Linked DNA regions of Mus musculus. The protein of the gene in region 2 purifies or fractionates together with the protein of the main gene of each other region. This does not show direct contact. Links are inferred from orthologs where the notes say so. Each region holds a gene or a part of one and is shown on either strand. Other genes may lie near its edges. The genes, in order: Bnip3, Fbxl4 and Bnip3l.

Evidence for each region.
Region 1: the proteins of Fbxl4 (region 2) and Bnip3 purify together in Homo sapiens (affinity purification with western blotting; 4 studies listed by BioGRID, with this or other methods). This does not show direct contact. The link is inferred for Mus musculus from reciprocal best matches to the Homo sapiens genes FBXL4 and BNIP3.
Region 3: the proteins of Fbxl4 (region 2) and Bnip3l purify together in Homo sapiens (affinity purification with western blotting; 4 studies listed by BioGRID, with this or other methods). This does not show direct contact. The link is inferred for Mus musculus from reciprocal best matches to the Homo sapiens genes FBXL4 and BNIP3L.

What each region holds. Positions count from the first base shown.
Region 1 is NC_000073.6:138,906,676-138,910,779, forward strand, and holds the start of Bnip3 (BCL2/adenovirus E1B 19 kDa protein-interacting protein 3), read right to left. Parts: upstream 2,832-4,104; 5' UTR 2,719-2,831; coding exon 2,688-2,718; intron 1-2,687. UniProt on the Homo sapiens protein: Apoptosis-inducing protein that can overcome BCL2 suppression. May play a role in repartitioning calcium between the two major intracellular calcium stores in association with BCL2.
Region 2 is NC_000070.6:22,356,187-22,360,457, forward strand, and holds the start of Fbxl4 (F-box/LRR-repeat protein 4), read left to right. Parts: upstream 1-1,356; 5' UTR 1,357-1,495; intron 1,496-4,271. UniProt on the Homo sapiens protein: Substrate-recognition component of the mitochondria-localized SCF-FBXL4 ubiquitin E3 ligase complex that plays a role in the restriction of mitophagy by controlling the degradation of BNIP3 and NIX mitophagy receptors.
Region 3 is NC_000080.6:66,988,256-66,991,899, forward strand, and holds part of Bnip3l (BCL2/adenovirus E1B 19 kDa protein-interacting protein 3-like), read right to left. Parts: intron 1,255-3,644; coding exon 1,151-1,254; intron 1,030-1,150; coding exon 880-1,029; intron 1-879.

The DNA.
Region 1 (4,104 bases), on a different chromosome or scaffold from region 2:
ACTAGGACTATTTACAGAGGCTAGAGCCAAGGAGAAACCCCTTCAGTGTATCCATGTTTTCTCTTCATGCAAGTCTGTCCTTGATAGTTTGCCTATAACCAACAGAACCACTCATCAGAACCAGTTGCAGACAGGGCAGCTAGCTAAGTGAAGACTTATTAAATCTATACAGTGGACCTTTCAGGAAAGGGCAGCAACCAAGGCACAGAAATATCACAATACTTATCTCTCCTCCAGCATGCCAGAAGTCATACAGAAAAGCCCTGCTCCTAAACACCTTTCAATAAGATGGAGCAGAGGTAAAAAGGGAACAGAACCAATCAGTGTTGTGGGTAACGCCTTCAGTAACGCTGGTCCCAGAGGTTGCTATGGGGAATATTTGCTGTCCCACCTACCAACAAGGCTTCCACAGCTCTCAGCCTCAGAAGTAAACACGAAGCGGCAAACAGAGGAGCTGCCTCAGCTCTGACTCCAAGCTGGGATTCACATTTCATAGGGCAGCTGAGATAACCCATGTGACTAAGTGACCCCTCCTACCCTGAGCTAGACAGTGAGCCAGTGCTGAGCTGCACGTACACCCCAAACAATGGCCCAAATCCTTAGCCTGAGTTTCCACACCGTAACCATCTTTTTATAGAATAAGTAAAAGAGAAAAACACAAAACCTTAACCCTTGAAACGTCTAATGACAACCCCCTTCTGCCAATGACTCAGCAGTCTGGCGTGCATGTCAGCTGAGTGTATGTTAACCGAGACCTCTCAGGAATACTCAGAAACTCCCCTAGATGAAGTCTTAACAGCATAGTGTCAGAAATCAAATTTCAACTAGCTACGAAAGTGACTTTACACAAAACATCACTTGATCTCTTAAGAGAAAAGACAAAAAAACTTCTCAATCAAAAAATTCCAACTGTTTGACGTTTGACATTAGGGAATAAAACCTGAATTACGAGATTTTTTTTTTAATGTGGCTGTAGTTTGAAAATACAGATTCTGTAATGTGTTAGGCTGATTAAATTCTGCCTACTAAAATCTCGTTTAGGGTAATAAATTCAGCTAACTCAGTGTCTCTGAATGCAAGCTTTTTAAAAACTCTTTTAACACAACACTGCTCTGAGTTACCCTATTCCAGTACTCCAGGACACAGAATCTCTGGACAGCATAGTCTACACAAGTTCTAGGACAGCCAGAGCTATACAGAGAAACCACGTCTTCACACTAAAGTGGGTACTGTGGCCCACACCTTTAATCCCAGCACTAGGGAGGTGGAGGCAGGCAGATCTCTGGGAGTTCACTGAGAGTGAGACCCTGCCTGGGGGGGGGGAGGGGAGTTGACACTAAAGCATTCATTTTAAAGGTTTGGAAAGCCTCTCTCTCACGTTTACTGACATGCGTTTTACCTGGTGAACTCTTGCTTCAGAGAGTACAAAGGTCAACAGGATCCTCCTCCAGTCTCAGGGCCTGAGACTCAACTCAGACTCAACTCAGGCCCACCAGGTAGCTCTCAGAAATGGACAATGGCACATAGCACCCAGGCTGGCCTTGCAAAACTAGCAGCTGTCTGCGCAGTGCTAACAGTCTGTAAAGGCTGATGCTGGGAGAGCCTTTCTGTTATTTGTGAGACAGGGTCTGGCTACAGAGCCCCGAACTAGCCTGGTACGACTGTGTAGTCCAGGCTAACCTGGAATTTGTCAAGACTCAACTTCACCCACCCCATGATGGGATTTTAGGTGTGTCACCACACCCAGCCTCACTTCCATTTTAACCTACAATCTACTTCACTGCTTGCAGTGAGCCTACTGAACTAAATTATAAGCACTTTACCCTCCTTTTGAGCTGTTGTAGCTCTCTTCCACACTACCTCCAGCCATACCCCCTCTCTGTTTTTCTCTTTGTAGACTTGGCTGTCCTGAAATTCACTCTGTAGACCAGGTTGGCCTCGAATTTACAGAAATCCCCCTGCCTCTGCCTCCTGATTGCTGGGATAAAAGGTTTGTGCCACCACTGTGCGGCTATCCCACCTCTTAACTCTAAAACCTGACAGAGGTCTGAAACCCTGTATCCTCCTCTTCCATCAGGAAGTGGCAACAAAGCAAGCCAGGGGTAAAGATTGGGGGAGAGGGGACACAGCGGCAAAGCCTGTTAATTCCAAATTCCAGCTACTCTAGAGGCTGAACCAGGAGGATCACAAGTTCAAGACCAGTATGTCTTAAAGCAATAAAATGAAAACTGGTAGTGTTGCTCGGGAAATGAGCACTTACCCAGCACGTTCAGATCTGGTTCTGTCCCCAGTACCAAGTAGGAAAAGTGAAAGGCACTACAGTCATAAATATTAATGACTTCAATCAAAGCACTGAAAATTCAACTGCAACCTCTAACTCACTTAAGCAACTCTGAACAAGGGGACGCCAAGGGCCTGAAATCTGAGCTACTCGGGAAGCTGAGGAAGGAGGATCGCAGAGTTCGAGGCTCCCCTGACCTACAGAGTCTGAAAATACAGAACTATGACAGTGTGAAGAACAGAGCAGGAAAGAAAGACCCGGCCTGCCTGTGAAGGTACTGTCTGTAAGATGCCCCGAGGCTCACCACCCAGCCCCGGCTGCACCGAACTGCATCGCGGCCTCCACTCACCGCACCCCAGCCCGCGACCCTACCGCCTCCGCGGCCCCTCTCGGCCCACTGCCTCACCCTGCAGGTTCTCCTCCCCGCTCTGCGACATGGTGGCTCGGCAAAGGAGCCCGAACCCAACTGCGACAGGCCTGGGAGGCGGTCACCGAGAGGTAGCAGGGGCAGCCTGCGCCGCTCAGTTCTGAGGCCAGGCGACACTGGACTGAGGGACAAGGGGCGGGGCGGGGCGGGACGCACGCGGCGGCGGAGCCCATTGGCTGGGGGGCGGGGCCTGCAGGTGGGGGAGGAACGCGGGGGAGCGTGTGGCACGTGCGGCGCGTGCGCCGGCATGGGCGGGGCCTGAGGCAGGAGTGCGCGGGAGGGCGGCTGTTTTTAAGGTCTAATGCAGAAGTGGACCGGGGGCTGTGCCTGAGGCTGGAGTAACTGGGACCTAGGCGGGTAGGGAAGAGTCTGGGGGCGGGGCTCGAGGTCTGAGCCTTGGGACTCCGAGGTGCGCGCATTGCAGAGGCCAAGAGGCGGGTCTTGAAGCCAGGCTGGAGGTGGGCAGACGTGGGCGGGCTCCGAGATAGGCGTGGCATGAGGACGTGCGGCCAGGTTTTTGGGCGTCTGGCCTTGGGTGCTGAGTTTGCCCCTCCTGCTCGCGGTTGACCCATAGTTCCCCAATCTCCTCCGGAACCTGCGAGCGCCAGCAATGGGAGCACACATGGTCTCGCTGTCTCTATGCACGCTTACAGATAGTTTTTTAGGTTGCATCTTTAAGAAAAATGCAGTCCGGGAGTGCTTATGTATAACTCTAGTCCCAGCCCTGGTTCGTGGCCAGGCTGGGCTGCACTGTATGAAGCTGTTTACAACAAAGCAAAACAAAAAATTTGCCAGTATTCTACTGCAGCATCAATGGCGAGTTGGGTAGTGCTGTGGTATGCTGCATGCGAGAAAGGACGGCATTTTTGGACAGGAACGGTTGGAGAGACCTTTGGAGGGCCAGTTTTGAGGATTCTGCATCCTCCCTGTAACCTACCCAGTAGCTTCTCTGTACTTGGAGGTTGGAATTCCCTCTTGATACAGTTCTGGGATAGAGAAGGGGCTTGTGAACCTCAAAAGAAGCTATCTTAGTAGCAGTGGGTCAGGTCACTAGAAGCAGCTTCATTTGGTGTTTTGTTTTTTCCCAGACAATGTCATAACCGAGGCTGGCTTTGAATTGGCTGTGTAGCAAAAGCTAACCTTGAATTTCCGATCCTACTGCTTTCGCCTCCTGAGAGCTGGGATTATAGCTATGCAGCCTTGATTTCCGTTTGTTTTGTTTGGAGTGCTAAGGTTATACGAGGGCCTTGCACATGCAAGTTCACTGCAGCTGAGCCATGTCACCAGACTGAATCTGATGTCTTTTTTTAGACAGATTCGCTTTGTAACCTACTCTGGTCTTAAACTTTTTTTCCTGCCCCAGCTTCCCAGTGGTTCCACCACTCTTAACTGAAAG
Region 2 (4,271 bases):
TGACATCTGCCTGCCTCTGCCCCCCAATGGCTGGGATTAAAGACATGCTCCACCACACCCAGTTCTAACCCTCTCCTTTTAGAACCTAGCTCACCAGATAGTGTCACAGTTAAGAATGGAAGATGGAAATTGAGTTTGAAGTTTTTGATTAAAATTTCACTTTTGTGTAGATTACACAGCATAGCATAATTGTTTCACTTCATGTGGTGGTCTGGATGAGATACTTTTATATGCTGGGGCCTTTCAATATGTGGTTCCTAGTTGGTCTGTTTGGGGAGGTGGAGGAGGTATGGCTTTGCTGATGGAAGTCAGTCATTGGGCCTGGCTTTGACAGATCAAAGACTTACCTGTTTCGAGTTGGTTCTTTGTACTTCGTTGTTTGCAGTTGGAGATGTGAGCTCTTAGTTGTTTGTGCCACCATACCTGGTGCTTGCTGCAGTGCTCCGGGTATGTAAGTGATTCTTAACCATCTGGAATCCCAAGTCTCATTGTTTTGGCTGTGATGTTTTGTTACAGCGATGGAAAAGAAAGTAACATAAAATTAACAAGTATTCTTTCTATTTTGCTTCTTCAAGAGAAAATTGGAAATCATGAGTGGTTCAGCATATTATTGAGTTTCCCATAAATAGGGCTGGAGAGACAGCTCTTTCAGAGACCCTGTTTGGTTCCCAGAATCCACTTCTGACAGCTCACAAATGCCTGTAATTTCAGCTCCAGGATATCTGATCTCTTCTGCCTTCAATGGCACCTGAACACATGTGTGCGCATGAACAGCACACACACACACACACACACACACACACAGATTAATAAAAAATTAAAATAAATCTTAAAGTTTTTTTTTATTAATGGAAACCTTGTGGAAAGACAGATGTAACGACAACTGAAGAAAGGTTCATTTGAAAAGAAATGGAGACTTAAGGGAGACCCGTGACAGCATCTTCATCACAGGTGGTCAGGTGAATATGCGCCTGCAGGGAAGGTTTGTTTCTGAGGGCTGAAGAATTTGTATATTAATTGGTGGATTGTGCCTGCTGAGAACTTTTACTGCTCTAGAAGTTCTCTTTCTAGTGCTCCTGTGCTGAAGTGCTTTTTTGCATAATACTTGGGTTGAGTCACCAAGTCCGAAGAAGCTCCAGCAGAACTACATTACTTCTGGAGGGCTATCTTTGGCAGGATGAGTAGCGTAAAGGTTCTGCAACCCGCTGCCAGTCCCCGAGCAAACAGGCCATTTCTAAAGCACCACTGGCCTGGCTAATCAGCTCAAACAACCAGGGCAATCCGGCAGCAGCCAGCCCGACCCTGGCCCCGCCCTTCGCCAGGCCCCGCCCCGCCTCCGGCCCCGCCCCGCCTCCCGGCCTCGGTCTTCCTTCCGGGTCGCGCTGGGCCGGGCCCGCCGCCGCGGCAGCAGCACGGGATACTGGGAGCCGTCTCCTGCTGCCCACGCTGCGGGCTTGCGGCGAAGCTCTGTTCGCCCAGTTCCGGACCCTGCAGGGTACGGCGCTTTCTTCCTTCCTCCCTCTTCAAGGTCTCGACGTTCCCCCCTCGGCGTGGGCGGGGCCGGGCGCGCGCCACTCTGGGGAGCGCGGGGCGGAGGCTCTGGGCCCACGCGTGCCTATGGTGCTGCGCCGCTGTGCTGGCGGAGACCGGACGTGGGTGCCGCCGCCTCCTGTCGCGGCTCTCTTGGGCCTGGCACGCTCACGGCGAGCTGCGGACGCTGGGCCTGCAGGCTGCGCAGCCCTGACTTCCCTCTCACGCGGGAAGGTTTCTGTCCAGGCAGGCTCGAGCCAGGAGATGCCAGGCTGCAGCCTTCTTTCCATCGTCTGGGGTGGGCCCAGCCACTTGTCAACTATGTTTGGCGATGGGGTTGGTTCTGCATTTCATCGGCTTCCCAAGTGCTCTTAGTCCCAGAGCTGTCAGCAGTCAGTTCTACTTGTAATCCACAAAGGGTCAGGAAGTTAGCTGGCTGTGGCCCACTGGTCTGCTCTGTTGGGAGCCACCTGCTCCCTCTGCTTCCTGCGCACACTCTGAGGAGATCCTAAGGCAGGCACACTGCTTATCTTGCCCACTCTCTCGTCCTACACGATTAATGAGTACAGGGTCCCTCGCACTCCTCTGTCTTGGAGTAAGTCTTGGGTGGAAGTGAAGTCTCATCTAGTGGCGCTAAGAATTAGACAGTCTTGAGTAGTCATTGAATTCCATTATTTCCAGACTTGCGTACCAATTTGAAAAATTCCTGTCCCACGTTTTGGCTCTTTTGAACCCTATTCCGTCTTTGTTTTCAAAGTCAGAGAGGTCAGGGCCTAAGACCTGGTTGTTTGTGGTCCTGTTGCTGCTGTCTTACAGTGTTGTTTACAGCTGATGTTTTGCTTTCAAATATGGTCGTCGAATCTTTACCAAGCCACTGCCCAGTCTTCTCAGCTTGGAAGCGTTACTATTTGCCGTCTTCGCTGTTCTAAGTTTGGAGTCCTCTTGGGTCTTTCATAATATGGATTGTGACTAACCCCCACCCCCCTCCGTGCACGTGCCCCATGGTTTGTTGTCTTACTCAACTTTGGTGTGAGATAAATAATGCTGTGCCTTCTTGGTTATTACTGGCCAATGACTTCATCCCAATTTGTCGAGTTCTGTTCTTTTTCTTCCTGTCAAGTGCTGGTATATGGTGAACACTTGGCGCCCGTGTATTCTTGAGACCTTCTGAACTGCTAGCAGTGACCTACTTCCTGTGGTAATGCCATGCTGCTCTTGTTTCTCCAGCTTTACAGTGTGTGGCGATTCAAACCTTGTCTGACATATCATGAACATCAGTGGATATTTTTGTAATGAACATTTAGTTGAGGGCAGGTTGGATTCCTTTTGTGTTTGAGTGTTGAGGTAGAGCTCTCAATGTAGCCTTGGCTGGGCTCTCTTAGAGGTCTTGTTGGCCCTGGCCCCTGAGAGATGGGGCTAAAGGTATGAAGAACTGCACTGAGTTGAATTCCCTTGTGTCTCGCCCCTCCCTCTAAAATGCCTTGCCAGTTTTTGAAATTTGTAAATTTGCCTTTCCTTTGGTCAGGTGAATTAATGGCCAAATTCTTAAATAAGCTGTCTTTTTGCTCACCCCGTTTACCCTGTCGAGTTGTTCCACATAGAAACTGATTCCCAGTCGCACGTCTGTTGACTTGGGATCTTCTCTTCGTGTGTGCAGTGTCCTGTTGGCCGTTATCAGTGATAACATAACAACATTCTATACCTGCTTTCAGCCCAGGCAAGCTCAATGCTCAAGCTCTCAGATATCCCTTTGAGTTTCACCATTCCAACAAGGTATCACAAACAGAATCAAATTCCTGTGCTGATGTAGTAGATGTGTAAATAATAATCACTGCTTAGTACTTTGCTCTTTCCAGATAGAAATGTGTATACGTGTGTTTCATATAGTGTGTGGTATAGCTTTCTGCAGCTTCTACTTAGTAGTCATCACTGGTGAATGTGTCTTTACATAGATGCACATGCCATCTTACCTTTCAAAGGCTTTTTTGGCTCATTATTTTAGGAGCAACCTAATACTGAGCCAATTCTCTCTTAGTATTTAGAACACTACACATTTATTTCTATTGTATGTGAAATTACTAGGCCATTTCTGCATGTGAATAGCTGTTTCTTATTTCTTATGTCTCTTTGCTTGGTGTCAGTTAGTCTTAGTTTGAAGATATTAAGTGGAAAATTCCAAGGGTAAATAGTTTGTAAGTTTTTAAATCCTGTGCTATTCTGAGTAGTGTGATGAAAGTGCATCCCTTCCTGATCTGTGAACTCTATCTTTTTCTACTCCAGCTACATATGTCCATGTATACGTATGTCTAGTCCATATGCCCATTACATAGTAAGTAACAGACCTGGCTGTCAGATCAACTGTGTTCAAGCAACTTTTTTTTTTTTTAATTTAATGTTGCCAAATTTGGATCAAGAGTACTGACTTCAGAAGTCCAAGCACGCCAAAGAGAAGCCAGCCATTAAGTACTTCCCTTATGAGTACGTATGTATGTATGGGAGTGCATATGTCTAGAAAGAATCATAATCTACCTAGCATTCTCTGCTCTCCATGGACCACAGTGGGATTTCAAAACATCTCCTGGTGATTGAGGGCCATTATTGTATATATTTGCATATTTGTTTCTTTTCTTGGTGCAAATGATTACATTGTTGGGTGAAAGGGTTTATGACTTTTAAATTTTCAGAGATTCTTCCACAGTACCCTTTAATACAGCTGCTGATACGGAGACTAGGGAGGTGGG
Region 3 (3,644 bases), on a different chromosome or scaffold from region 2:
AACTCCTCAACAATATCGCAGCAATTTTTAAGGCCCCTTTAAAACATTTTCTGTGGTAAGAGTTAAATTTAATTAAAGCAACAACAAAGCTTGAAGATTCATGAAAGCAAGAAATACTGCAAGGCCCCCAAGCCAAGCTTTTGTGGTAAATGAACTGAATAGTTGGCAGGTATTACGAGTCCTCCCAAGCTCCACACTCTCCTATCCTGTTTCCTCCACAAGCGCCTCTCACTCAGCTGTCTGTGAATACTGGCCCTGTCTGGAGGAACAGATCCTCTACAGGAGAGACAGTGGAAGATGCACACCTGCCCATGCTCCAGAGCAGGCACTTCCCTCTGCTATGCTGAGCCACTCATAGCAAGATCAGCAATGATCCACTTTCCATGCATCAGACACAGAAAAAGACTCACTGGGCATGCTCAGAGCATAGTAGGTAGGACTTGAAACTAATATTAATTAAGCTAATGTTTATAAACTAAAATATTTCAGAAGTATGTTTTCTTAAAATATTAAAATCGGGGGGGGGGGGAAGCTATTAATTGAAAAGACATGCCACAAGTTAATGAATTAAGGGAAATACTGGCTGACTTTTGAATAAATGCCACAAAGTTTAAAAGACAAAGACGGTACCCATAGCAGCCTACCAGTGTATTCCAGAATCATGCTCCACAATGGTGTTTTACCATCTGGGGGAGGGAGGGTAGCATTTTTCATTTACTCCTACATTTATATTTAATAATTTATACATTACTCACAATTAGCCAAATTTTAAATAACTCATAAAAGATAAATAATGATGGCTCCTTTCTTTTGACTGCCTTGTTGCCTAGTCCCATTAAGTCCCATTAAGTCACATGATGACTCTATCAGGGTACTTACCCGAGCCCCAAGGCCAGCACATGAGAAAGGAAGAGAGATGGGATGAAAACTTTTAGGAACTCTGCAGAGAAAATGCCCCCTTTCTTCATGGCTCCACTCTTCCTCATGCTTAGAGACGCAGCACGTTTAGGGTGTCTGAAATGGAACTCTCTGGGGAAGAAGTTCAGAGGCTGGAATCAGACCACAAGTGCTGCAGATGCCGGGCCTGAGCAAGCCCCTCCACATGAGCACAGAAATCACACCGCCCGCCCAGACACATGCAGTAACTTACTTGGGTGGGATGTTTTCGGGTCTACTGGACCAGTCTGATACCCAGTCTGCACTTTTCTTCAAAGCCTCAACTTCCTTTTCTCCTTCTACAACTTCTTCTTCTGACTAAAAAGAATTAAACAGTGAGAAGAAAGGAACAAAAGAAACACAGAAAAGAACAATTCTTTTTAATAAAAAAACAAACTAAATACAAAGTTGTGTATTGGTGATTTTAATGGAGGAAACAAGCTGTTTTCTAAAACTGAAGTAGACTGTAACCCTGGAAAAGTCCTCTGCAGGGGTGGCAATGCTGTGGCCTTGGTGCTGTTGAACCCGAGGATGCACACGTAGTGTTTCACTGTGTCCTTCTCAACATTAAACTTCCTATGCTGTACATATTCCCAACTGCATTTAAAATAAACATACCAAAAAGGAGATGGGAACAAATTAAATCTGTGAGGAAGTTAGCAAAGGGATGTGGTAAATCATGAGGCTGCCAACCACCTGAGACCAGCATCTACTAAAGCCAATGTCACTCATTAAACTTTACCATGGTCAATTCCAAACAGAAACTGCTGCATTCCACTCTACAAATGAGGACAGGGCGTGTGTGCCTTGCTGAGGGCCTCGTAACTAAAGGGGAAGACTACTGTTTTCTAACCCAGGCAAATTGCTCCAAAGGCCCAGGTTTCTTACTCTCTGAAAGATTTTTTTTTAAAGATGAATATTTCTCAAGATTTTGAAAACATATTAGTCAAGTTTTTCTGGAATAAGCTATTTTGAAGTGAGCCAGAAGTTAACATCTATTGCAATAAATGAAAAATATTCTTTTTATTGCTAATGATAACCTAAGCTTTCAGGCCAGAAAAAAACAAACAAACAAATAAACAAACAAAAAACCATTACATTTCCACATGCCTTTTCTTGTTTTTGTTTCTCTGAGACAGTACCTCATTCTGTAGCCTAGGCTGACCTGGAATTCAATATGGGGCCAGGCTGGCCTTTGATCTCAACTGCTGGGATAATAGACTTGGGCTATCATGTCTGGAAAACTCTTTTAACAGAAAGGGAGAGATGAAAAATTCCTAAAAATGACACATTAGTTGTATTTATTTAGTTTCAAAGGAATGTGAGGCTGTGACTCCAAACCAGAGCCCCAAAACTCTGATTCTGACTGACAGCTGAAGCCACCTGGCCTCTTCACAGGACGCTTTCCCCATAGCCCCAGTTCCTCGGGACTCAGCTGTCTGGGAGTGTGAGCCTGGCTCTACACATCACCCCTTTACTACCAAATCCAAGCCAAAAGCTCAGGGGATGTTTGCGTCCCTTTGTCAGCACGGTCCTTATCTAGTTCTGCTGAAGTTGGCAAATTCCACCAACTAACACAATGCAGCATTTAAGACAGAGCTTTTCCCAGCAGGCACTGAGCTTACTCAGAATCATGAGCTGGCTCTGTGGAGCAACCCTGAGATCATCCTCAGGCAGAAGCCAATCAGCAGTCATGCTGCAAGCACTGAGCAGCATGTGTGCACAACATTTGTGAGTTTTCAGACTACTATAGGTTCTTCTTTTTTTTTTTTTTTAAGATTTATTTATTTTATGTGAGTACACTGTCACTGTCTTCAGTCACACCAGAAGAGGGCATTGGATCTCATTACGGATGGTTGTGAGCCACCATGTAGTTTCTGGGAATTGAACTCAAGACCTCTGGAAGAGCAGCCAGTGTTCTTAACCGCTGAGCCACCTCACCAGCCCCTATAGGAGATTCTTTTGTTTTCATTTTTTGTTTGTTTATTTATGACATGTAGAAGCCACAGGTCAACAGGTAAAAGCTGACTTACTCCTTCCACCATGTGGGTGCTGGGGCTTCAATGTGGGGTGGAACTCAGGCTGTCTTGCTGGTTCCCTGTTCTTTTGGTTTGGTTTCAGCAATGCTGGAGACTTAAACCCATGGCCTCCCACATGTTAGGCAAGAGTTTTGCCTCAGTAACTGCACTCTAGCCAGATGGTAGTTTGTTCTTAGTTCCTCCTTTGGCCTCCCAGAATGCCTGCTTTCTGGTTTAGCTTAGGTATTTTTTAACCAGTTAATATTTTATTCTTTTCAGAGTACAAACAGAGAGATTTGTGCTCTGAATTTTCGAATACGATGAGATTTCCTCCACGGGAATAAAGCAAAGTTACCATTGGAGTCATATAGTTATTTTAGTCTACAAACACATTTCTAACCTTAAACTCTAATATTAACATGATTCTACATTCTTTTATTGTCTGAAATTTGTCAATCCCAGAGTTTTGGAGAGGGGATGGTGAGACAGCCTCAAACATTCTTTAGAGCCTAGGCTGCCCTATAGATCTCATGATTCTCAGCCTCCTGAGTCCAGAAACTGCAATAAACCTTAACACTATGCTTGGTTCATTTTGAGATTTTAAGCCATCTTCCTGTGACTAAAGAATATGACAAAAGGGCCCCTCATCTAACCACACAGGACTCATGCTTTGCTCTTCCCTGGACACAT